Linked DNA regions of Coturnix japonica. The protein of the gene in region 2 interacts with the protein of the main gene of each other region in a biochemical or structural test. Links are inferred from orthologs where the notes say so. Each region holds a gene or a part of one and is shown on either strand. Other genes may lie near its edges. The genes, in order: EXOC2, RALA and PLD1.

Evidence for each region.
Region 1: the proteins of RALA (region 2) and EXOC2 are reported together in a solved structure, tested with the Homo sapiens proteins (2 studies listed by BioGRID, with this or other methods). The link is inferred for Coturnix japonica from reciprocal best matches to the Homo sapiens genes RALA and EXOC2.
Region 3: the proteins of RALA (region 2) and PLD1 form a complex in vitro, tested with the Homo sapiens proteins (2 studies listed by BioGRID). The link is inferred for Coturnix japonica from reciprocal best matches to the Homo sapiens genes RALA and PLD1.

The regions. Positions count from the first base shown.
Region 1 is NC_029517.1:62,003,206-62,011,236, forward strand, and holds part of EXOC2 (exocyst complex component 2), read left to right. Parts: intron 1-2,160; coding exon 2,161-2,306; intron 2,307-2,401; coding exon 2,402-2,483; intron 2,484-2,923; coding exon 2,924-3,026; intron 3,027-5,540; coding exon 5,541-5,659; intron 5,660-8,031. UniProt on the Homo sapiens protein: Component of the exocyst complex involved in the docking of exocytic vesicles with fusion sites on the plasma membrane.
Region 2 is NC_029517.1:76,745,995-76,754,025, reverse strand, and holds part of RALA (ras-related protein Ral-A), read left to right. Parts: intron 1-734; coding exon 735-943; intron 944-4,862; coding exon 4,863-5,037; intron 5,038-8,031. UniProt on the Homo sapiens protein: Multifunctional GTPase involved in a variety of cellular processes including gene expression, cell migration, cell proliferation, oncogenic transformation and membrane trafficking.
Region 3 is NC_029524.1:17,243,589-17,252,398, reverse strand, and holds the start of PLD1 (phospholipase D1), read right to left. Parts: upstream 4,237-8,810; 5' UTR 4,015-4,236; intron 1-4,014. UniProt on the Homo sapiens protein: Function as phospholipase selective for phosphatidylcholine. Implicated as a critical step in numerous cellular pathways, including signal transduction, membrane trafficking, and the regulation of mitosis.

The DNA.
Region 1 (8,031 bases), about 15 Mb from region 2:
GACAAAGGATGCTTTCTACAGCTACCAAGCATGCAAAGAGAATGTGCCAAGTTATTGGATTGACATGTCAGAAGTTAGTAGAAGTAGAATCTGCTCCCGTAGGTAGAATTGCAGCTGCTTGCAGTTTCTGCTAGATTGCTAGATATTATTGTTAAATAACTTACAGAATGTATATTCACAAAAACATGCTATAGGCTGCACTTCATTTCACAAAGAATTGCCTTATAGGAGGTCAGTCAAGTTCCCTTAAGTTTTGTTTTTGACAGGTTCTATAAAAGACAACTGTTGCTTAACAAGAGCTTTTTTTATCTTTTTTTTTTTTTTTTTTTTTCCTGTAATTTGAACAAAGTATATTGTCTATTTGGAAAGTATAATCAGTCATCCTTTATCCATGAGCTTCCTAGTTTACTTTTAGATTATTCATTACTAGTGAATAGATAAATTGTTAATGTAGAAGGGATTTGGGAAGAGCAGAGAAGGGAAGAAATTTTACAATGTTTTTCTAAGCCCTAGAAGAGAAACCTATTCTGAAGAAAGCATTGAATGTGATCAAGGCATTGGATTTAACACACTTCATTTTCTAAGTAAAACAGGAAAAAGAAGTAAAATCATTTCCTTAAATTGAGTATTTTACATCATTAATTTTGTACAAATGAATGTGCAGTTTTGAACTGGAGATGGAAATCACTGTGCAGTTGTTGCAGTTGCCAATTGACTTTGAAAAAGTAATTAGACATTTGATAAGGCACTGAATTAAAGAAATAGTGTTTTGTGAATAAAACGTAGTGAGTACAGTACGTTTCTTCTTGACCGTTAATAGAATGCATGAGAAACACATGAATTCAAACAAACCGAATGTATTTACTCAAAGGGCTCAAAAAAATTAACATTTGTTAAAGCATCAAGAGAAAATAAAATCAAACTTCACCAGTGATCTGTATTTAGATATCCAGCTAGTTGTTTTCATTGTGTATCTCTCCATAGTGGGTTAAAGTATTTTATATTAAATAGTATGTAGTAGGAATAGCTGTCGTGACAAAACATTTTTTTACATCAGGGCTTTAGAATTTCAACCAAGTTTAAACATTATTTAGATATAACAATTATTTTACAAAGACTACTTTTAACATGAACAGGCCACCCACAGTGTTGACTAGAGAAAATGGCATGCAAGCCACCCAGTGAGACTGATGTAATTTTTTTCATCTTTGCTTAAATTATAGTCACCAGACCAGATAATGTAGAAACTTTTACATGCAACGATCAAAAAGGCTAAAACATTTCCAGTTCTTTTTTTCTTTTATTGGTTAATTAAAAATAAGTCACGAGTTGAAAAATGCAAATAATCGCGTGCGAATATAAATGAAATACTGTTAATCTCTCTGGAAGTATGGAAAAACTCTATTACAAAATAGAACACGTTCCATCATAAAAGGTTCTAAGGATTTCTGTGTGGAAGAATATCCATGAATAATATCACAATGTAATTGCATGTAATTATTGTCCTAGCCTTTATCCTGTATGTGATGAAACTAAACAGGGTTTAAATGCACGGTGAAGACAACAATATTCATTCTGTTACAATTACCAACTAGTTAATTTTTCAGTCACACCATTGTCTGTGATTTAATCACCAGTACTTCTAAAAGTGTTTCTTTTAAATTGAACATTACTAATTGTATTTAAGAATTAATTTGAGAACACTGGATGCTTGCAAAATTCGCGGTCCTAACTCTGGAAGCTATAGCATTAATTAACATAATGAAATTATACTTTTCTAAGAGTGAAAACTTTCTGTGACTTTTTCCATATCCTGAGATGCATAATTTAGTTGTAAAAATGTAGATCTGGAGCCAAAGCAAGCTATAAAATATCTGCAACAAAGTTAAGCATTTGAAATAGGAAAGAGTGATTGTTTTTAATTGCACAGGGGTCTTACCACATTAAAATGCTAAGTGGTTCCCTCTGAAATAGTATTTCATCAGTTGTAAAATGTAAAAACTGTTGCACAGAAGAAACAGTAAAAACTTTGCAATAGTTATTCATTTTCTCTAAAAAAGCTTAGATGATGATGCCATTCATTAAAATGAGGAAAATCTGCTTATGATTTAAACCGTTTACTTGCTCTAATTTCACTTAACTTCATCCTTTTTAAAACAGGAGCCAGTAACACAGCAGATACTTTATTCCAAGAAGTGCTGGGCCGCAAGGATAAAGCTGATTCAACAAGAAATGCACTCAATGTTCTTCAGCGTTTTAAATTTCTTTTCAACCTTCCACTGAATATAGAAAGAAATATCCAGAAGGTATAAACCTTTAAAAATACTTTAACCTTTGATGAAATGACTGTTACCTTTTAATAAATATAAACGTTTATTTGTTTTTTATTGTTGTTTTTAAGGGTGATTATGATGTGGTTATTAATGACTACGAAAAGGCCAAGTCGCTCTTTGGAAAGACAGAGGTTCAAGTATTCAAAAAATGTAAGATATGTATTGTATTACTTCTGTTTATTCTCAGCATATAAGCTAAAAAGCACATAGTAGTTAAAAGAGACATATGATTTTAATCCTTAAAAGTTATGTGTATATATAGGAAAAGTTAAACAATATTTCTAGCAGATTTTCTATGCAAGGTATATTCACAGTCAAATTTACTTATTAAGACTGGACATTTGGTGAGAGAAAAAAGGGTTACAGTGACTGAAAATGGGACTGTGGATAATTCCAAAGTACTGTTGGAAAGATTTCAAAGTATGATATTTTTTCATAGAACTGTTGTATATGAAAATGTCAGGTACATATTTAATTTTTTTCCCATAATAAATCCAAAAGTGTCTGATGTCCTAGAAAAATAATGTAATTTTCAGTTCATGCTACTACTGAAGGCACGGGTGAGATTTATTTCCTCTCCTCACTCCTAGATTATGCTGAAGTTGAAACCAGAATAGAAGCTTTAAGAGAACTTCTGTTGGATAAACTCCTTGAAACTCCATCAACACTGCATGATCAGAAACGTTATATAAGGTAGTCATTCAACTTTTGTCTTCTTTGGATTTATGATATTAGATATTTATTGTTTCCTAAATAGGGTAGTTACTATTTTTTTATGATAGTTTGAATACTGCTTTTAAAGCTGAAAGTAGATTGTGTTGTGATTTTTTGAATATATAATGATTTTGGATTGATGTTTGATTGTTTATGGAGTGATCGAGATTGTAATTTTTAAAAATCATAAAGGTATGTTCATTTCTTCTTCTAAATCATCTCATTGTAAGCTATGTATGAAATGATCCTTTGTAAGATGCAGATCTCAAAATAGACTGCATATTAACTTGTGCTCCATTTCAGCGTGGTGTTAAAAATGCATCATTTTGAGTCAGATAATAGAAAGTTTTTAATCCAGAATTGAGTTTAAATTTGTTTTTGACTCTTTTACTATTCATTCTAAATAATGAATGTCCTTTACATTTCATGAACATTTACCATTTTTCTACTTTTCATTAAAATTCCTATATTTGCTCTCATTCTGTAAGGTTATGTCCAAGCCAATGGTAGGATTACTAACATGAGTTGCTCGGACCTTATCCTAACAGTAGACCTTAGCCTTCTTTACAATCCTTGGGAACAGAATTTAGAATGCTCTGAAACATTTGACGACGTTACTAGCAAGCTTTTGAGCCCTGAGTGTTGGTAGGACTCCCAGTGTGGCTTGATATTCTCAGTGTTTTTTTTCCACTTATCTTAAAAGTTGAAGACCGAATGCAATATGCAGGTAGCATTCTTAGAAATCTGACACCTGTGTGAGGTCTTTAATGTTTTTTTGTGTTCACCCAGCCCAGTTTCACAGGCAGGGAATGCTGGAGTCTTCTGCCCTTTTACTTTGTTAGTTTATGAGGACAGTGACCAGTGTGCATTTAGTCCTTCTCATTCTTCTAGGTGCCGTGTAAATATTGCATATTTGTTAGAGTTACATTTTAAGATGAGGAGTGTTAAACATTTTGTGTGTCTTGAAAAAGCTACTGTTTCTTTCTTTCTATTTTAGTCTTGAAAAACCTTAAAAATAACTTTTTTGTTTTTATACTTTTAAGGTAATGTTTAACATATCGCTGAACAAGCAAGAAGATGCATTATTTCCAGTGCTAGTGATATATGCGTATTTATTTATTTATTTATTTATTTATTAAATATTGTGTCTAAACAATGACTAAAGTCCCCCTAAATGTTAAGGAAAGACATGAGCTCATAGTTTATAAATACCACCCTGTCAAAATGGTTGGTTGTGTAATGTTCTCATCTATCCCACCAATTGTCCTTTGACAGTTCATTTTGTTCATGAAAGTACTGCAGACAAGGAAGACGAATTTTTGCAATGCATTCGTAATTAACCTTAGGTGTTATTATAGTAACATCACTTCTGTGAAGGAGTTAAAACGCTCACTGCACTGCTTAAGAGAAGTTAGTGTATTTCATCTTGAGCATCTTGCATTTTTGAATTTGTCCTGTGTTTTTAATGCAGAATATAATGGAGATGGTGGTGGTATGGCAATCCCACCAATACTCTGTAATATTTGTTGCCATATGACAGAGGGCAACAGAGAGGCAGTGGACACAAAAGCATGAAACAAAGGTGTGCCATTAAATTCCTCCATGTGAGGAAAAAATGGCACCCACTGACATTCATTGGTGTTCCTCAGCTTTTCTGGGGAGCAAATAGTAGATGTGAGTACAGTGAGGCAGTGGGTGATGCATTTCAGCAGTGGTGACAGTGAGTTGCTTCCACTGGGACAGATATTTGAGAGCACAGCATGAAGGCACATGTTCATTACTGGTGAAAATACAGAAGTAATGGTGGTGACTGTGTTGAAAAATAGTGTTTTGTAGCTGAGAATTTGCTCTTCGTAGCAGTTGTAGTTTCCATGGAAATAAACAGGAGAGGCATTACTTTTGGAGCAACCTGTGTTTGTGAGTGTATATATATATACATATAAATAAGATGCAGTCCCACAGTGTGCGCACAACCTAATGGAAAATAAAAAACAACAACCAGGGGCTTAGTTTATATTTGCCTATGCATGTCCATGGTTGGATTAATGAGCCACCAAAAATTAGTTCCTTCTGTACTTTCCTGTTCCAATTGATACGTGCAAAGTGGGGAGCAAAGTACCATATTTTATATGCTTGAGATGTCATCAGAGGTTTCAAGTGAAACATGAAATACTGATCTGCAACTTTGACAGATAAAAATCTTGGTTACCAGAGAACACTTCTAGAGGCACAACAGAAAATACGTACCTAATCTGATTTTCAGTGTATGTGCTTTTGTATATTATTATAAGGGTTTTTTAGTAGAATTTTGCTTCACTAAATTAGGAAGTGAGAATGCAAAGTTTGCATTTGCATTGGGTACAAGTTCTTGAATTTTTAAAATTATACATCTCTGTGTATATGTGTGTATAAATACATATGAAGATATTTCTGTTTTAATGAGGCCTTTAATGTGTCAAGTCAGAGCTGTGATTTTTGGACTGGATTTTGCAGATATCTTTCTGATCTTCATGCGCCTGGGGACCCTGCTTGGCAGTGCATCGGTGCTCAGCATCAGTGGATTCTACAGCTCATGCACAACTGTAAGGAGAGCTATGTTAAAGAGCAAAAAGGCAAGGATATGTTTTTGTTACTTATATGTATTTGACACTTAGGAATTTGGCATTGCCTTTTCTTTGACAAGTTTTAGTGTGTGAATGATGCTTTTGGTTGTTGTTGTTCTCTGCTTAATTTTGATAGCTTTTCACAAAGCTAAATATTGAACTATATATTTTTTTCTTTATTATAAAAGGAAAGTATCTGTTAGAATTTTTTTTATTTTTTTATTTTTTAACTTAGAACTTGTAAGCTTCTTAAATGGGAAAAGCATTAAATTTCAGTCGTATATTTGAGGTTTACAGTCCTCCAGAAATAGTCCTCCATCCACTATCTAGAAATAGTACTAGAAAGTCACGTTAAATCCACCATTTATATTCTTCTTCGTACAGTATACTAGTAGTGTATTGTTATGAAGGACATCAAAGTACCATGTGATAAAGTCTAATTTCTTGACATGCAGTAAATGATAACACAGGGTTCTCTTACTCTTTTTTGCCAGTGCAGTTTCAAAACTGATTCTTTTTGTTCAAACACAGACCTGTGAGATTATCTTAAGTATTCAGTTTGTCTATTTTACATTAAGAGCTATATGAATATTTAGCTGTATTCTGTCTAGTTCTGCCAGTGTTGTTCCTTGAAGAAATGCACCCTCATAGATGCTTCAAAGGTGTGGCAGCAATTGAGCTACCAGTCATAATCCATCACATCTTTGTATTTTCAAAAGGGAATTGGCAGGAAACTACAGACCTGGTGTTTCTAGGAGTTAAATCTATAACCTGGATTAGAAATTGAAAATACTGTGTTGTTTCTCAAGTAGTCTTAACAAGTTTACTGATTTTCCTAAAATGAGTAGTAATTCCCGTGTTTAGTTTTGTTGCTGTTTATCCCAAGCCAACTAAGATGTTCTCTTCTGAGAAGCACAGTAATTTTTCTTAGTCAGAGCTGTGGCAGATAAGTGCTGTGAAATTAATTGCTGCAAGATTCTCGCATTTTGTTCTTCAGCAGAGATTACAACTTCAGGTATAGGGTTCGCAGTGTGCTTAATGTGACAGTGATGTCAGTAAGTTGTAGCTTGAAGTATACATGGACTTTTTTTTTTGCTACAACACGTTATTGAGTGCTATGGGACCAGCTGGAATGCGAGGCTGATTTCTTGTACTCATAGTCAAAATCCAGAACATTTCCAAAACCTCACCATCTCTCATCCTTCCCAAAAACCTGAGAGACCCGACCCTGCAGTATATATCCGTGAAGGGCAAAATTCACTAGTGAAAATGGCCAATATTAATGATTCTAAACTATCTTTTTCTCCTTTCAGTTGCAAAACATTATATACCAATCCCTTAGCTTCTTATCTAAGAGAAAAAATAGGGGCACAAAGATGTTAAATACTTGTGACTTCTTTGTTGTAGTAGTCTATATAATATTGATGTGCATGGTCCAGTAATTAATCAAAAATGGACCTAAATTCCACGGCTTGTCTTGAAAATCTTAACCTTTTTGGTGTTTTTCTTGCAACAATTCTGCTTACCTCAGCCTTAATATCAAAGGAACTTATTATGTTAGCAGCTTTGTTTGGCTCACAGATGGAGAAATTTGCATAACTTGTCTGCCCAGTAAATGCATGTATGAATAGTTAATATTTGCATGAAAAAAAAAATGCTAATATAGTATGACTTTTATTTTAAAAAGCTAGTATCATTTAAATAGTTTTCTTTCATCCTTTTCTATGGTCCTTAGTTTTTGCGCACATTATATTGATCCTGATTCATAGTATTCCCCATTCAATATCAGCTTGAGCAAAGGAAAGTTGCTAAACTCAGTTTCTTCTTTCCACGGATCTTTAATTTTAACATACACCAGAGGGGAGAAGGCAAAGAGGAAACTTGGAAGAGTTGGTATTAACTGCCAAGCAGAACAGTGCTGACTGTGATCTGAGACATGGAATTTATTTTCATCTACTTTCACTGATGCATAATTTTCTAGAAGGAAAAGAGTGTTTTTTTTCGCTCAGATATCAAATTGGTTTTGCATGACTTCAAGGACTCAAATCAACTTGAAATCAGAAATAGGTTTTATACATTCATAAACTCAGAAGTTATTTTTATAACATAACAGTAGTAAATTTTCAGACTAGTTTCCTTAAAATATGCTTCCAGAAAAGGTTTTGAACATGAAGTATTTGGAGGAGGAGGTGGGTCATAATGTTGACAGCCTCTTGACAAATGCATTAGATATTTTCCTAGGTTTCTCTCCTCAGTACGGATAATATCCTTTGTTTCTAGCAGATGGTGTCTGCTAGAGTATGTGAATAGTCCCACCTTGAATGTACCAACATTTGTGGCTGATATTAGCAGTTTTTCTGTTGGTTCAAGCTAACTGAATC
Region 2 (8,031 bases):
TTTAAAGTCCCATCCAACCCAAACTGTTATGTGACTTTGAAATTCTGAGTTTTCTTTGTTAGAGAAACCTGTAAATGTATGAATATGCCTTCCCCCCCCCCTCTTCAAATTTTTAGGCTATTAGTAGTTTTATAATTTGCTCCCTTACAATATATTTTCACATTGGTTGCTAGACCTGATAAGTACTAAAACTCAAAGCTTCTTCACTTAAGTAAGTTGCTTGATGCCTGAGATGTGACTTTTTTCCTTTTCTTTTTTTTTTATGTTGCTGTTGGAGAAAGAAAAAAAAATAAAAAAATCTTGTTTTCTTACTTTTTTTTTTGTCAGTGAAAGTAATTCTTTTTGACTAAGAAATGGAAGTTATGCCTTCAGTGTGCCTTACAAAATTGATACTAAATATACTCAGTCAGAACTGCCTGATAGCATAATGAAATGCAGCCAGGTGCTGTGCTTAACTGAAAGTAGACATTAAGTGCGTGGCCATTAACGTTTTGCAGTTGCTTCTAAAATTTCCTTGTAATGGCTGAAAAAAGCAAAATCCTGTAAATTGTTCGAGCTGATGGAGAGCCTGCTTTAGCTATGTTGAATAACTTGAGTATTTCACGTAACCTAAATACATAGGCTTATTTATTCATTACTGTAACCATAACAAATGTTTGTTATATCCTTATGTGAAAATAATGCATTTGCCCTCTATAGACCTGGTTTTCAAGTGATAAATTTTTTGTTTCTAGTTTGTAGAAGATTATGAGCCCACCAAAGCTGACAGCTACAGGAAGAAGGTGGTTCTGGATGGGGAAGAAGTCCAAATTGATATATTGGACACAGCAGGGCAAGAAGATTACGCAGCAATCAGAGATAACTACTTCCGAAGTGGAGAAGGCTTTCTTTGTGTTTTCTCTATCACAGAGCTGGAGTCATTTGCAGCTACTGCAGATTTCAGGTAGGCTACAAGGCAAGTTATTGTAATTATGGTGAGGTTCTTGTAATTTATTTATATATATATATATAAATATATAAATATATATATATATATATATATATTTTTTTTTTTGCAATATCATTAGGTAGTTTAGAATAGATGACTGTAGTCACGTTGCTTTGAATAGATGCCTAACCACGCTTCTATTATCTTTGTACCACTACAGATATCTTTGCTGCTCTGTTGCTGAATACCGAAGAGGTTATTGCAACAGAGCAGATGCATAGTAACATTCAGAAGGCTGCTGCCCTTTCTAGATCATTGTTGCTTGATGCTTACACTACAGTGCAAAGAATCACATCTCTGAGTAGGCAGCCTCCTCAGTGCTGAGGACAGAGGGACAGACACCTCCCTGATCCTGCTCACTACAATATTTGTTACAACTCAGGATGCCACTGGCTTCTTGGCCGTCTAAGCACACTGCTGGTTCGTGTTCAGTCAACTGTCAACTAGCACGCTCAAATCCTGTTGGCCCATGTGATTTGCCAGCCAGTCGGCTCCAAGTCTGGAGCAATGCATAAGATTACTGTAACTGAAATGCTAGACTTGGCACTTGGTCTTTTGGATGTCGTACAGTTGGCCTCAGCTCATCCAACCACATCTGTGGGGGCTTCCTGCTCTCTGGAAGATTGGCACTTCTTCCAAACTTGATGTCATGTGCATACTTACTGAGGATGTATTCAATCCCTTTGTCTAGATGTTCAATAAAGATATTAAATAAGGCTGGCTCCAGTACTGACTGCTCTGGAACATCACTCATGACTGATCGCCAGTTGGATTTAGCTCCATTCACCACTAGTCTTTGGGCCTGGCTCTCCAGCCAGTTTTCTTTAGGCAGTAAAGAGTGCACTTGTCCAAGCCATGGGCTGCCAGCTTCTGCAGGGAGGGTCAGAGCCTTTAATAAAATCTTTGTAGATCACATCCACAGCCTCTCCTTCATCAACTAGGTATGGATTTAGCAGGCTAGTTGTTTTATTATTTTTAGGATGTTTTTCAAGCATACGAGGTATTAAAACCCTTGTAATGGTGGGAGATTTAGACAGCATTGTATTGAGTGTTTCATTTTGCTTGAGAGCCTATTTAAAACACTCATTCCGCTATCTATGAAGGAAAATATCTTATTGCTGTGATATATATAGAGTAAAAATAGACACCGCTCCCCCAAAATTTTAGCAGTTCAAAGTTAAGCAAAATAGAGAGGTAAGATGCAGATCATTTCCTTTTCTATTATTAAAATAAGCATTCTTAGAGATCACAGAATCTCTAATCCCTGGGTTAGAAGGGGCGTCAAGGATCATGAAGCTCCAACCCCCCTGCCTGGCAGGGCCACCAAACGTCCATGTTTACTAGATCAGGTTGCCCAGAACCCCATCCAACCTGGCCTTGAACACCTCCAGGGATGGGGCATCCACAACATCCCTGGGCAGCCTGTTCCAGGACCTCACGACTCTCGTAGTAAAGAACTTCCCCCTAACATCCAACCTAAATCTTCCCTCTTTAACTTAAATCCATTTTGCCTTGTCCTACTATTATCAGCCCTTTCAAAGAGTTTACACCCTTCCTAATTATAGGTACTCTTCAGGTACTGAAAGGCTGCAATGAGGTGTCCCCGCAGCCTTCTTTTCTCCAGGCTGAACAAGCCCAGCTCTCTCAGCCAGTCCTTATAGGGGAGGTGCTCCAACCCCCTGCCCATCCTCCTGGCCCTCCTCTGGACCCTTTCCAAAATCTCTGTGCCTTTCTTGTACTGAGGGCTCCACACCTGGACACAGTATTCCAGATGGGGCCTCACGAGCAGAGTAGAAAGGGACATTCACCTCCCTATTCCTACTGGCCACCCCTCTCCTGATGGAGCCCAGGATACCATTTGCTTTCCAAGCTGTAAGAGCGCACTGCTGGCTCATGTTGAGTCTTTTGTCCATCAGGACCCCCAGGTCCTTCTCTGCCAAGCTGCTCTCAAGGACTACACCTCCCAGTCTGTACAGGTGCCTGGGGTTCAACCTCATTAGGTTCACTCAGGCCCACCTTTCAAGCCTGTCAAGGTCCCTCTGAATGGCATCCCTTCCTTCCTCCATGTCCACCACATCGCTCAGCTTGGTGTCATCAGCAAACTTGCTGTGAGCGCACTCCATTCCATCGTAGATGTCATTGATAGAGATGTTAAAGAGCATCGGTCGTAAGTCAGATCCCTGGGGGACATCGCTCATTACTGGCCTCCACCTGGACACAGAGCCATTGATCACCACCCTTTGTCTGCAGCCTTTCAACCAATTTCTTATATCCATCAAGTGGTCCTCCCATCAAATCCACATCTCTCCAATTTGGGGATGAGGATGTGGTGGGGTACCACGTCAAAGGCCTTGCTCAAGTCCAGGTAAATAACATCGGTCGTCTTCCCCTTCCCTTCATCAACCAATGCTGTCACTCCATCATAGAAGGCCACAAGATTGGTTAATCATGACCTTCCCTTGGTGAAGCTGTGCTGGCTGTCTCGGATCACTCGCTTGTTCCTCGTGTGATTGAGCATATCGTCCAGGAGGATCTGTTCCATGATCTTCCCGGGCACAGAGGTGAGGCTCACCAGCCTGTAGTTCCCTGGGTCCTCCCTGCTCCCCTTCTTGTATATGGGAGTGATGTGACCCTTCCTCCAGTCATCCGGGACCTCAAATGTTACCATAGCTCAGGTTAATTAGTACAAAGCATAGAATGCATCTTCTCTAAGGGTGGAGAAGGAGTTATGGAGAGGGGAGACAGCAAGCTTGTCCCCTTCTGGTCTATGGTTTTGTTTGTTCGTTTTTTAATTTATTTTTTCTCAGTATATAAGTATATGTATCCTTTAAGAGAGAAAGAGAAAAGCCTAGGCTGATTTACAGGCTTATGCTACTTATGGCAGTCCTGGAGGGCTAGTTGAATGCGGTGTTACAAGCTGCCTCCAATGTGCATTTGCTGGTTAAAGAAATGAAAAGCTAACTCAACAAAACTAAATGCTACAAAAAGCAAGACATCTTTTACCACCAAGAGGATTCTGATGTGTACCAAATGGAAGGATTTAACAGAAGGATCTGTTAACTCTTTCCAGTTTCTTTCTGTTCTATGTAAAATCCGCCAGTAAGCTTCACCTCAGCCAGAAAAGGGAATGTGGTGCTTTGTGCTTTTTCTTGAACTTTCAGAAACTGTTTCACAATGGAGGGCTAAATTCCACTGCTGACTTTGTACTCCTTTCTGAGATGAAGGAGACAGTGCTTGTCTTCCAGGAGCAGTGTTCTTCAGATTGATGTACCAAAGCATCTGTAGTACTCGGTTTTATTTATAAATTTAAACTCTTCATCGTAGTGGTTCAGACAGGATCTTTCCTTAAAAATCTGACTTATGTGCAGGCTTGTTATCCTTAAACTGGCTTATAACTGAATCAAGATCTCTGTAGGGGCTGAATGTAAGTGACTTCAGAAAGATTCCTGAAAGGGCAAGATTTTTCTCTTGTTAAGCTATATTAGTTTACTACCTAATTGATTTCATCAGCTTTAAAAGTGGCACATGCATTTTGTTAGGAAAAATAGTCAAATGTAAGAATGTAGTCTGGGTATATTAAGAATTGCCATTACTAATAGCAGCATAAAGGCAGTGAGAAGTACTGTCAAGTAATATCTTTAGTAAAAGGAGAATGTCATTAGTTTAAGTTCTCACTTGTTCAACTTTGTTTATTTGTTACTGATTCATCTTCCTTCCTTCCTGGAAGACTAATAATCTGTCTTGGTTTAAAATTTTGCTGTTATTTAAGTTTCAGAAAAAGAATGGAAGAGTTTAAGTCCGCATTCTTATTTTTGTGTTCTAAGAATAGTATTTTATAAAGTAATTTATTTTTTGCTTTTCTGTTTTTCTCTAGGGAGCAGATCTTAAGAGTAAAAGAAGATGAGAACGTTCCTTTTTTGCTAGTAGGTAACAAATCAGATTTGGAAGATAAAAGGCAAGTTTCTATAGAAGAAGCAAAAAACAGAGCTGATCAGTGGAATGTTAACTATGTGGAAACTTCTGCAAAAACAAGAGCTAATGTTGACAAGGTAATAACTTGCCTCATAACTCACCTAATACAAAGAATCTCTGTCAGTTTTTACTTTATACTTCTATGGGTCTATAGTTTACATGTTTAAGTTATTTAGTCTGTTTTTTTTGGGGGGGGTGGATCTCAAAACAAATGCTTTTCTCCTATTGCTTGTGATGAGAACATGACTAAGTTGCTTAATATAAAACAGTGAGAATGCATTAGGCATAGAGAGTTATCACATCCTAAACTGTGATGAGTTGAGTCATTAGACAAGACCTTTTATTGTTAACAAGTTATTGAGGCAATTGTGTTGGCCTTGCCTTCTTGTGTTTTCTGTAACTGGAAGATAAAACTGCTTCTAGACAGTGAGAATGCTGCTTGAGGAATAAAATGGCTTAGAAAACTAAGGGAGGGATTGGAATCCTATCTACCCTTGTCTAACCACATGCCTGTGTGTTGTTTCAATGAAGAATGGATTTACTCTTTTAAGTTTTAAATGGGCCAGAAGTGCCTCATGAATTTTCTGGGATAAAGGCTGGATCAGAAGGTCATAAGAATGCACAAAGAATATTTGTTTCTAAGATGATAAATGACTGATTAGTTGTAAGTATTTCACTTACTGAGAAGACAGGACTTCTTGAGACATAGCATTTGGAATAACTCTCAGCTTCATAGACTGAAAAAGTAGTAGATATCTGGGGAAAGTAAGAAGCTCAGATTAAAGCGCAGATTTTTTTCTTTCATACCTCTCGGTAGACATGATCACCCAGAGATTTTCTAATGTAAATGCTTACAAATGAGTAGTTGAAGTGTAAAAGCAGTAATAAAAGTACTGTTTTGCAGTAACTTAAACTTTACTGTAGTCATTTGTCAGTTGTTGTTGCAAAGAAGTGGATTGTTCAGTGCTAAAGTAAAAACATTACGTTGTTCTGCAGGGAACATTAAGTCAATTAAATGCAGAGCAATTCAGTTGCTTTTAGTTTTGGTGCGTAATTGCAGTTAACATCCACCTATTTCAGTCTTGCAGAAGTTCTAAGGTCATCTGGATCTGTTTCATCATCCTTTAGCAGCAGGGGGGAAAAAGTAAATATTTTTGATATATATAACCAGTAACTTTTGCATTCATGTGATAGGCTACTAAAGGGCTCAAGGCTTCTTTTTGGAACAGGTGGCATTATGGATCCAGGTAGATATGTATTACATAGAGTTCAGATTTGATGATCCATAAATTAGAGGCATAGAACGGCTTGGGTTGAAAGGGACTTCAAAGATCATGTAGTTCCCATCTCCTTCCTACAGACAGGCTTGCCAGCCACCAAATCGGGCACTAGGTGAGGTTGCCTGTCCAACCTGGCTTTGAACACCATCCAGGGATTGGATATCTGCAACTTCTCTGGGCAACCTGTTCCAGTACTTTGTTACCCTCAGAGTAAAATAAATAAATAAATAAATAAATTCTCCCTGATATCTCATCTTCCCTCTTTTAGTTTAAAACAGTTCCTCCTTGTCCTGTTGCTGTCCATATAAAAAGTTGTTTGCCCTCCTGTTTATAAGTTCCCTTTAAGTATTGAAAGGCCACAGTGAGGTCTGTCCTGATCCTTCTCTTCTCTAGACTGAATAAGCCCAACTTCTTTAACCTTTCTTCCTCAGAGAGATGCTCCAGCCCTTTGATTGTTTCCATGATCTTCTGGACCTGTTTCAAAGTGTCCACATCTTCCTTGAGCTGGGGGCCCTGAGCCTGAATGTGGTACTCAAGATGGGGGGGGTCTCATGAGGGCAGAGTAGAAAGGCACCCTCACCCTGCTGGCCACTCCTCTTTTGATGCAGCCCAGGATACCATTGGCCTTCTGGGATGCAAGCACAAGCTGCTGACTCCTGTTTAGTTTCTTTTATCTACCAGAACCCTTAAGTCCTTTTCAGCTGGGCTGCTCTCAAGGAGGCTTTGTTGGCCGTTGTAAATACCAGGTATTAGTTACTAGTTTTCTTAAAGCATCTGACGTTACAGGGTTTACTATATGAACTTGAGTTTGTATTCTATAAAAAGAGTTGCTTCCCTAAATTCCAGAAGGGTGAGTTTGGGCTTTCACTCAATTTGGTAACAGTAAGCAAATGAGCATTTTCTCACACTAGGTTAAGTATCCCAGGTACTGTGGTACATTGCTAGGGCTTAAGCAAGGTGACAGTTGCAGCATACCATTAATAGAGGTTTAAGCAAAAGCAAGTAACTTCAACATCTAGCATCCTAACGGCAGTTGTATTTTTTGATGGAAACACATAGTTGCATTTATTTTCCTCATGTACTCTGTAATGAAAGTTTATGCTTCTGCTGCAGTCAACATGAGATTAGTGTCAATGCAGATAAAAATGCCTGCTGTATTCTGTAGAAGAGTGTTTTGGTCCTTACGTTGTCTGTTGTATAGAAATGGATCAAGCCCCCCTGACAGATAAAGAGGGAAGTCTTCCTGGCAGAAGTTTTACAGTTGTTCAAATGATCCACTGTGATAAAATAACAAAGATGAAAGTTATTTTCAGTAGCCCTCTTTAAGGCAAGATTGTATTAATGAATGAAGTAATTTAAAGGATCTCTGTCATAGACCTGAGCTTACAGCCTTTTCTCAAGTGACACACTGATTTGTCTCCAACTTCTGTTTCCTACTAAGCTACTTGATAATAATGAAGTTTATGCATACTTTGAGATTTCCAATCTAAAAATAGCTTATGTATTTGTATGGGTGACAACCTGTTTTTAAAGGAAATGCTAATTTATTTTTGCTGCACTTTTTGTTTAGACTTGCATCATGGGGCATAGAGACTGAAATGTTCAGTATGTGCTACTGCCTCATTAATGTGCTTCTAGAACTAATTGTAGCAGTTCTTCAACCTTTGCGGTTCATTGCTGAATATTCTCACAATGTAAACTGATTTCCCTGAGTCTCCGCAGTAAAATATAGATAGAAAATGGAAAAGAAAAATCTCAGGTAGTTATATGAGTCTTGCTTTAATTCTTCTG
Region 3 (8,810 bases), on a different chromosome or scaffold from region 2:
CCTAGAAGCCAGCAGAGCCCCAAGGTTATGACCTGCAAGCTGAGCCCTCTGAGCTCAATGCGAGATGGAAACCTGCCCACTATCAGCCCCAGGTTAGTCACGTTCTTCCCCTTGTTTTCCATCCCAGCCTCCTGGTACAGTGATGCTCTCTAAGAGGTTTCTGCAGACAGTTATATTCTTTCTGCACATTACAAAAAAAGAAAGAAATAGAAAGAAAGAAAAGAGAGGCTGCTTGGCAGAAAGAAAAACATTCGGTGTTTTGAGGGAAAAAAAGCACCCTGCCAGGGCTCAGACTGCACTCCTATCCCTGGTGCTTTCTGCCAGCAAACAAAATGGCTCATTTGCCACAATTGCTGCCAAAATGTCTTGGGATCGGTCACACCACAGACTCTTGAAGGCACTTGTGACTCACTGCTACTCCACACTGGGAGGGCTCACAGCTGGGTGGGACCCCTGCAAAAAATATCAGTTTGCTGGGAACTTCTGTCATGGAAAAACACATTTTACAGCATCTCACTGGGGCTACAGGAATAGACGCTTAGAGAAAGCGGAACGAGAGACCAAGATATTTCCCTCTGAAAGGACACAGTATGTGCTGCCTGCTCTCTGAGTCGCTCCCATCTTCTTTGGCTGCAATGGAGACCTGGGCATATCTGCATGTTTCATGCTGGCCAACCGCACTGTGTAACTCTGCTTTACTCAGATAGAAAGAGACGATGCACAGCCAACGCTCACAACATGGGTTGTGCTGGGGGTGGTGGTGGGAAGAGAAAGAAACATTTCAGTTAAAAAAGGTGATCCTTTTTGGGAGACGTGTTGGTGAAGCGGCTCTGTGCCATATCCCTCCTATGTGTCCATGACCCATGTGCCCCGAGGCACGGGGAGCGCAGAAAAGCAAGTTCCTGCACAACGAGATAAGCAGAAACAACAACTGGATGTGAATCATCCACTTGCACGGACTTGGACAGAGCGTGTCATGGTGCTGATCTGTGGGATATTGTCTGCCTCATAGTGCCCTCTGTGTCCCCGAGCTGTGCTGGAGCGCTCCATCCCCGCTGGGAAATGGCTGTGAACTGTGCACTTTCTTTTCTGCTAAATGCCTGTTCCAGCACTGCATTGCCTCCTTACCGCACCCTTTCTCTGTACACAGCCTGCTCCTTTGGGCTGTGGACCATTTCATCCGTTAGCTAAACCTCATCTGCCAAAAAGAAGAGATGAAGGACAGGACACTGTTCTTGCACAAAGATAACAAATGCAAACTGGCTGCACTGCTGTCAAAGGGAAGCATTGTTCATTTGCATATGGTCAGCATCGTGCCCCCAGAGCACAGAGGGTGCTGAAACATGACCATTTGGAGACCAGAGTGCTGTGAATGCCACATATGCCCAACATGACTCCATGCAGCCATAGGACGCTCATCAGGGAGATGCTACCACATCCATGGGGCTGCAATCAGCAACATCCCCATCTAGTCTCACTCTCCATCATGTTTTCAGGCACATGAGCCTGATAACCAACTCAAGACCATACAATCATTAAAGTTGGAAAAGACTTCTAAGATCCTCAAGCCCAACCCCAAGCCATTCCCCCATGCCCACTGACGATGCCTCTAAGAGCCACATTGCCATGGGTCAAGAACATCCCCAGGGATGGTGACTTCACCACTTCCCCAGGCACAGCCATCTTATCTTGGCCTTACAAACCTGCATTTTGAGTCCTCGCTCTCACTGTGAGAGCATCAGGCACTAACTCCACCTGTAAATATATGTCTGCCTCCTTCTTGCTCCCCCAGGCATGAGAGCAGGGAAGGGACACGTGTCTGCTTACCCCCAGACACCAGCTGCCTCCCACCGCTCTGGGCTTCCTATGCCATGTGGGTGGGAGAGCAGCACAGTGCTTGTTTGGGAGAGAAACACTGGGAACAGAGCTATTCTCCTCCACCCAACTCCTTCTCCCCCCCATCTTCCACTGCCCTACCAAATACCTGTTAAAATAATCACATACAGATCTGTACAGGAACACCTGACCACAGACTGAAACAACAAACCACATCAGCCTTCTTTTTGGTGAAAAGTGGAGTAAGCAAGGTTTGGGGAAGGGAAAAAGGATGGAAATGTGATTTCCATCAGATAGCCCCAAAGAGCACAGGAAACAACACAGGCCATCCCATGCACAGCAGAGCAAGGCGTGAGGCCATACTCTGCTCCTGGTGCTCCTGTATCAGGCACGCCATCAAACTGACACCCACAGAAACTCAAACTGAGGGCTCAAGTGAGGATTTCCCTCATGGAGGACAAACCCAAGAGCCTGTAGGAACACCCATGGCTGATACCTGCTTTACGAAGCTATTTCTCAGGAATAAAATGGTGGCAGCACCAACAGCGATGGTGTTCCCCTGATACTTCAGTCCCTGAAGATTTGCTAACTTGCTTTAAACCCATTTCCATGGAGGGAATTTGTGTACCAAGCCAAGTTCAGCTCGTAACTAAGCAAGGCACAGCCACACTTCCTTCATGCATAAAGACGTTTCCCGAATCACTGTTGGAGAACAGCCCTGCTGTAAAACACGGGATCCTTCCTCTGCTGCAGCCACACCTGCGGTCTAAAGAGCACCTCACCAATTACTGGGGATAACAGTGTCAAGCTGACACAAGCCCTTACAATCGCTAGTAAGAAAAGCAGTGCAACTTTCTCGTCGAGGCGTGTGATTTCAGGATGCTTCTTGAAAGAGTGAAGTCACCAGCCAGGCTCACCAGCCTCCTGCTTTTGTTTTCTTTCTTTCTTTCTTTCTAACTTTAATTGTGTCTTCAGCAGCTGAAGGAAACTGCAACTCTGATCCCAGGAAACTCCTGGATCTGCAAGAGCTCATGGGACACCGCCTGCCCCCATCATAGCAACAGTTCTGAGCACAGAAACCTTGAAAATCACTCAACTGGGTCTTTTCCAGCAAGACCACAGCCTGAAAACCCATCTCCAGGAATCCTCAAAAAGGAGGATGTTACATATCCGAACAAAATTAAGTGTGCAGACAGGTGTTTCAGTGAGAAACCCAAGGAGAAAAGTTCAACCTAAACAGAAGGATCATCTGCAGCACTGAAAGACAGGGAAGGGCAGCCAGGGGGTTTCCAAACTCTGGGTCAGGGCTGAGGCTGCCACGAGCATCCCGAGTGCACAGGTACAGTCCCCAGAGACCTGTGAACCATCAGCATGAGCTCATGCTGCCTGGTGCCATGGACTAATTTTTGAGCAGTTAAAGACTGTTGAAACGGAGTTCCCACTCTCCAAACAGCGAAAGGAAGCAGCTAAGAAACGGAACGCCATACCAAAACAGTGCTTGTTGCAGTGCCGTGGTGCCATCCCTCCTCCGCGGAATGTCACATTTAACGCGGTTTTACCCGCTGTCGGGGATGGGACCGTAAGGAAAAGCGATCTGCCCAAAACATCCACCCAACGCTTGAGGCACCGTGCGTTCACCTCGAGGCAGGGCGCGGACACTAACGCACAGCCCAGGGCACGCTGCAGGGTCACTGCTGGAGTAACCAACAGCGCAGGGCAACTCTCAGGGGCTCCGGATATTAAGCAGCAACCTCTGAAAGCAAAGCAGCATCACGCCTAATAAAGACAAAACGCAAACAGTGGAGAAGACTACCGGGGTGCCAAGGGGGCCGCTGCGGGGAAGCCGTCGGGTCTCGGCCCTCGGGTGGAGCTGGGCAGCACACGAGGTGCTGGGGTGTATGCGGGACATGGCCCCGAGCTCCTGACCCCAGCCCGGCACGGAACTACGGAGCAGCAGGAGCAGCAGGAGCGAGGCATCCCGAGCGCACACCGCGGTGCGGACGGCACCTCTCGGGAGTGAAGTTTGCTCCCAGCACAGCGCGGGGAGGGCCCGCAAATGAACGCCCCGAGCTCAACCCTCAACCCTTCCCCTCCCCGCACCGACAGGCAAAGCAAAGCAAAGCAAAGCAAAGCAAAGCAAAGCAAAGCGAGCCGCCCTCCGCGCCGCTCCGCACCCACCTCTTGCCCCCGGGGCAGCGACCGCTCCATGGCGCCGTGAGCGCTCGTCCCGTCCCAAGCTGCGCTGTGCTGCGCTGTGCTGTCCCGGAGCGGTGGGGCCGGGCCGCACCTCGCCCCGCAACACCCCTACACCGGCCCCAATCCCGGACCGGCCGCTACCAGCCTGTGAGCAGGGCGGGCTGCGGGAAACCCCTCCCCGAGAGCAACGGGCGTGGGACAGCGCAGGAAGGGAAGGAGGGAAGGAGGGGCGGGGGGAGGAGGAGGAGGAGGAGGTTGTGGCTCGTCGCGGGGCAGGGTGTTCCGCGGTCGAAGGAAAAATAATAAGCGAGGAATGCTCGTTTAGTAGGGGGAGAAAGTTGGCTTTTTCAAGGCGGAAATTTGCTGCACGCTGGGGGTAACACCGAGCGCAGCTCCACCGGGAGGACGCGCCTTCCTCTCTTGTGCCCTCTCGGTTGCTGCAGTAGGAATAAGCCGGCTGGACACCCAGCAGGAACCTCTGGGTAGGGGAGCAAACGAGAAACCCAGAGCAAATTAACAGCGAGTTCAACACACAGGCAATGGTGTTTTTAACGTAATAATTACGGTCACTTACTGTCTGTATCTGAGCAGCATGCAAATGCTGTATTTTTCATGCTGCTCCCCATACTTACTCTCAAAGAGCTTTTGAATAGGCAAAGAAGCAGATTTTTGGGGAAGGGACAGATAGAAAAGCCCTGAACTGACAAATGGAAAAGCAAAGCCCTCCACATGCTGAGCGGCTCTGGCAGCCGTGTTGGGGTGCTGGGAGCATTCACAAACCTCTCTGCAGTGCCACAGCCTCCCCTGCTGCAGCCACACAGGGCCATCATGGTGACTTATCCCAGGGAGTTCAGCGTTCCCACACTGGTGCCAATGTTAAGATGTCAGTATGGATGTTATGATAGTTTTCCTCTTTAAGGGATTTATTTCATTTCTTAAACAGCCCCGTGTCAGCTCAGCCTGTTCAGAGTGGGCTTCCCCTGTCTTGGCTGACTGGTGGCTCACTGAGAGCAGTGTGGGGGATGCCCTTCATGCCTGAAATCAGACTGGCCAATCTGAGCTGGGTTCCAAGCAGCATTGCAACACTTCTGTTGGTGCTGAGCTCCGACACTGCTCTGCTCAGCATCACAGGGAGATGTGAATGAAGGTGGTATCAGGCAAGGGGACAGCATGGGCATCTGTAGCACTCAGCATCAGGAAAGCACTGGAGACGAGCAGAGGGAACTCTGAAGCAAAGAACAAGGGAAATGGAAGCAATAGAAAGTCACCCTGTGGTAGCGGCATCCCCATCTCATTTTAAAGCGTAGGCAAAGACTGGATGTGCTACCTCACACTGCTCATGACAACAGGGGGTGGGCAGTGTTGGAGGGCAGGTGATGGAGCACCCCTTAGGGCACTGCCTGCAGGGGATGTCCTAACTCTGCCACCTGCTCAGGCTCCCCTGCTGACCCCACAGCTGCTTGGACCATGCCTGCTACCACCCCCAGTTGCAGAGAGGGGACAGCACACACCATGCCCACATCTGGCTAGCTGAGTTCTGGGAGATATTAATGAATTCATGAACAGTAACTCGGATAACACATACTTAGGTTAGGCTTACTTAGAAACCTCTTGTTGAGCACTATGGCAACAATGTACCACATTTCCTCCACCCTGAGCACTATTCCCATCACCTTCCCTGACCCAGAGGCAATGCACAAAGCAGATGAGTGGTGCATGCCAAGTCAAATACCTCAAGCCCTAAAGAAACACAGTGATACTGGGTGACCGCAGAGCAGGCAGGGCTGGGGATTCCTTTATTCTCTCCTCCCACTGACTTTTGGCCTCCAGAACTGCCTGTGCAGCTCTCCAATGATGCTTCCCACTGTCACAAGGGTGCCACGTGTGCTTATCCAAAGTGAGTGCACAGTGTGCACAGCCACACTGCTGGGCTCTGGAAAACCAGGGTGGGAATGTTAGGGACAATGTCAGCGGCATTTTTAATATATATATACTTTGGTCTCACCCCTGGGCACTGCAGTGTCCAAGCATGGGAGAGGGGAGGAACAGAAGCCAGCAGTGCTCCCAGAGCTGTGCCAAGCGCTGCTCACAGCCACAGGCAAACAGCACGTGGAGGGAGAAAGCTGCCATTGGCTCCTGCAGGCCTCACAAACAGCATTCTTGCAGCAGGGAGAGCAGCTTCTTCCGCACTGTTTCCCTCCTCCCATATCCTCCCAGGGAAGAGGCTGCCACCCCCCGGGAGGAAAAGGCAGGGGAGGAAGTCGGGCACTGCGCCGTGCCACGCTGCCTCCTGGGAGCTGTAGTCGTGTCTCATGGCCAAGTCCTGCCCTGTGGCACCCCCCGTGGCACTGCAGCTCCCACAGCCCCATCCCGGCCAGGGGACAGCAGACCCCCAGGTTGGGTTGCTGTGAGATGACTCTGTGGCTGCTGAGCACGATTGCGCTTGGCCGGGATATTTCAGTTTGCTTTCACACCTTCCCCTTCTCGCAAAATTCCCATGGAAACAAAAACAAAGCTCTTGCTGTTTGGGTGTATTTTTTTTTTCCTCTCAAGGGAGAAGAGTGAATGAAAGAGGAAAAAAAACCTCGCCAACTTGCTCTGGGGCTGTGTGGGTACCGGGATGCCCTCATGTGGCCGCAGGGTCAGTCCCAGGCACTGGAAGTGGAGCTGCTGTGCTGTGCAGCATTGCTCTGAGCTTGGAGCAATGCCAGGCATGTTGGTGAGCCAACAGCATCTGGGGGAAGGAGAGTGCAAACCGGCTCATATGGTGCTAAGCGGAGATGCGCACTGGCTTGCTATTTAAAGCTGAGCAGGAGCAGGAATGGCAGGTTTGAGTGAGCTTGGCTAGTCTATCCGAAAACAATTTTCATAGTCCTCTCCAGCCCAAGATCTCAGGCTGCCCCTCATCTCCCTGTGGGGCCAAACCATCCTTCCTCCCCTATCAGTACCCCCAAACTGTCCCCTGCCCAAAGGCAAGCAAGATGCAGCCCGAGGCCAGGGTTTGGGGATGCCTTGGTTTTCCCATTTCTACATCAACAGAATTGTTTCGAATGTATTCTGAGATGTAGTTCATTAAATGGGTGAATTACACGTTTTATCGTTCATCCATAGCAGGTTGTCAAGGAGGTACGTTATTATTGGCAGCTAGAAGGGAACTAACAAATATTCTTAGAGTCTGTAACGAGCACTTGAGTAAGAGTCAAGTAATGAGTGTTTCTTCAGTGACAAATCCACGCAAGATATGCTCCACCTGTTTTGTTAACAGACAAAGGCTTATATAAGCTGGGTGTTACATAAAACCCTAAAATAGGGAGCCAGAGAACTCCCCCACCTTTGGATGAAGGCACGACCACAGAACACGTGTACCTGGGCTGACATTAACCTGGCCCTCCTGCTGCCATCACTTAGCCCCATAAGCACTGGGCTGGCCAAAGTCCCCACATTTTTCCAGAACCTGCCATCAAAATAGCATTCTCCAGACAGCTCCATCATCTCAGTGCTGGCCCAGGAATATATATCTGTGCTTGTGTTCTCTCGTGTGCCATAAACACCCATCCAATCACAGGGCACCATCCAGACATATCACCTGCCTCGGTAAAATCAGCCTTTCTCCACACACACCTTGAATCCTGCCTTAAAAAGCACAATTCCAAAACTCAGACAATACAGTCAGCCCACACCAATGGTTACTTGCAGACATCAGAAAAGAAGATTTGCATTTCAGCTCACAGCCCAGGCGCAGATTCCCCTCCCAGCACAGACCTGAGAGGCGGCTGTGTGAGAACTGGGGATCCTTATTTGTGCTGGGACAGCAGGGGACAAAGAGCTCCACACACAGGATTACTGGTGGGGCAGAGCAAAACGTGTCAGGAAGAACTCTCTTGACTACAAGGGTGCCATTCATTGCAGCAATCAATTCTTGCAGAAACACGCCAAGGCCGCGATGTGACTCTGCCTGACTTGGCACAGGCCATCTGCCCAACCCTTGCTCTGAGTTAATGGGAGCTGCACAGAAGCTGCGGCCATTCTCCTCCTGCAGCATCCTCTCTGGATTCATCCTACAGGCTTCAAGGTGTTGAATGACAGAAGGCGGGCAGCCTGAAGCAGAGAAAAAAAGGAAGTAAAATGCAAGCTGTCCAGCCCACAGGAAAAGGAAAAAGGAAAAGGAAGCTAGGAAAGAAAGAAGGGTAAGAAAGAAAAGAAAGAAATGAAAGAAAGGGAGGAAGAAAGAGGGAAAAAAGCGTAGCCTGGATTTGGTTTCCTTTGTGTCATTTATCATACTCTCGATTTGAGATGACACAGATAAGGCAGTGGTGACCCCTAGTGCCCTCTCCAGCTGCAGTGTTGCTCTGTACAGTTATTCAAGCACAATTAGCCCCAAACCAGCACTTTTCAGCCGTGCTCCTCATTCACAAAGCTTCTCCCTCTCGCAGGAGCAGGACCTGATTTCCTCTCTCTGCTCAGACCCCATCACTGCGAGGCGTTCCCTGCAGCATCCCTTTCTTGCTGTTGTCTAGGAACGAAATTATACACATTTCCTCGTGTAACAACATATTATATTCCATTCAGTCTTTATCATACTACATTTCTATTCATTGTACATACAGAAGAAGAAAGAAGAGCCTGTTTTGTTAACTCCAAGCTTGTCAATAGTTCAGAACAACCATTCAGAACTCCAGAGAAGAGGCCTTTGTCTGGGATAAAGTGTACTTGCAGCAGCAAGCCACGGAAAGGAGCAAGTCTGCCCTGTGACAGGCATGGGTAAGCACTGCTGTGTT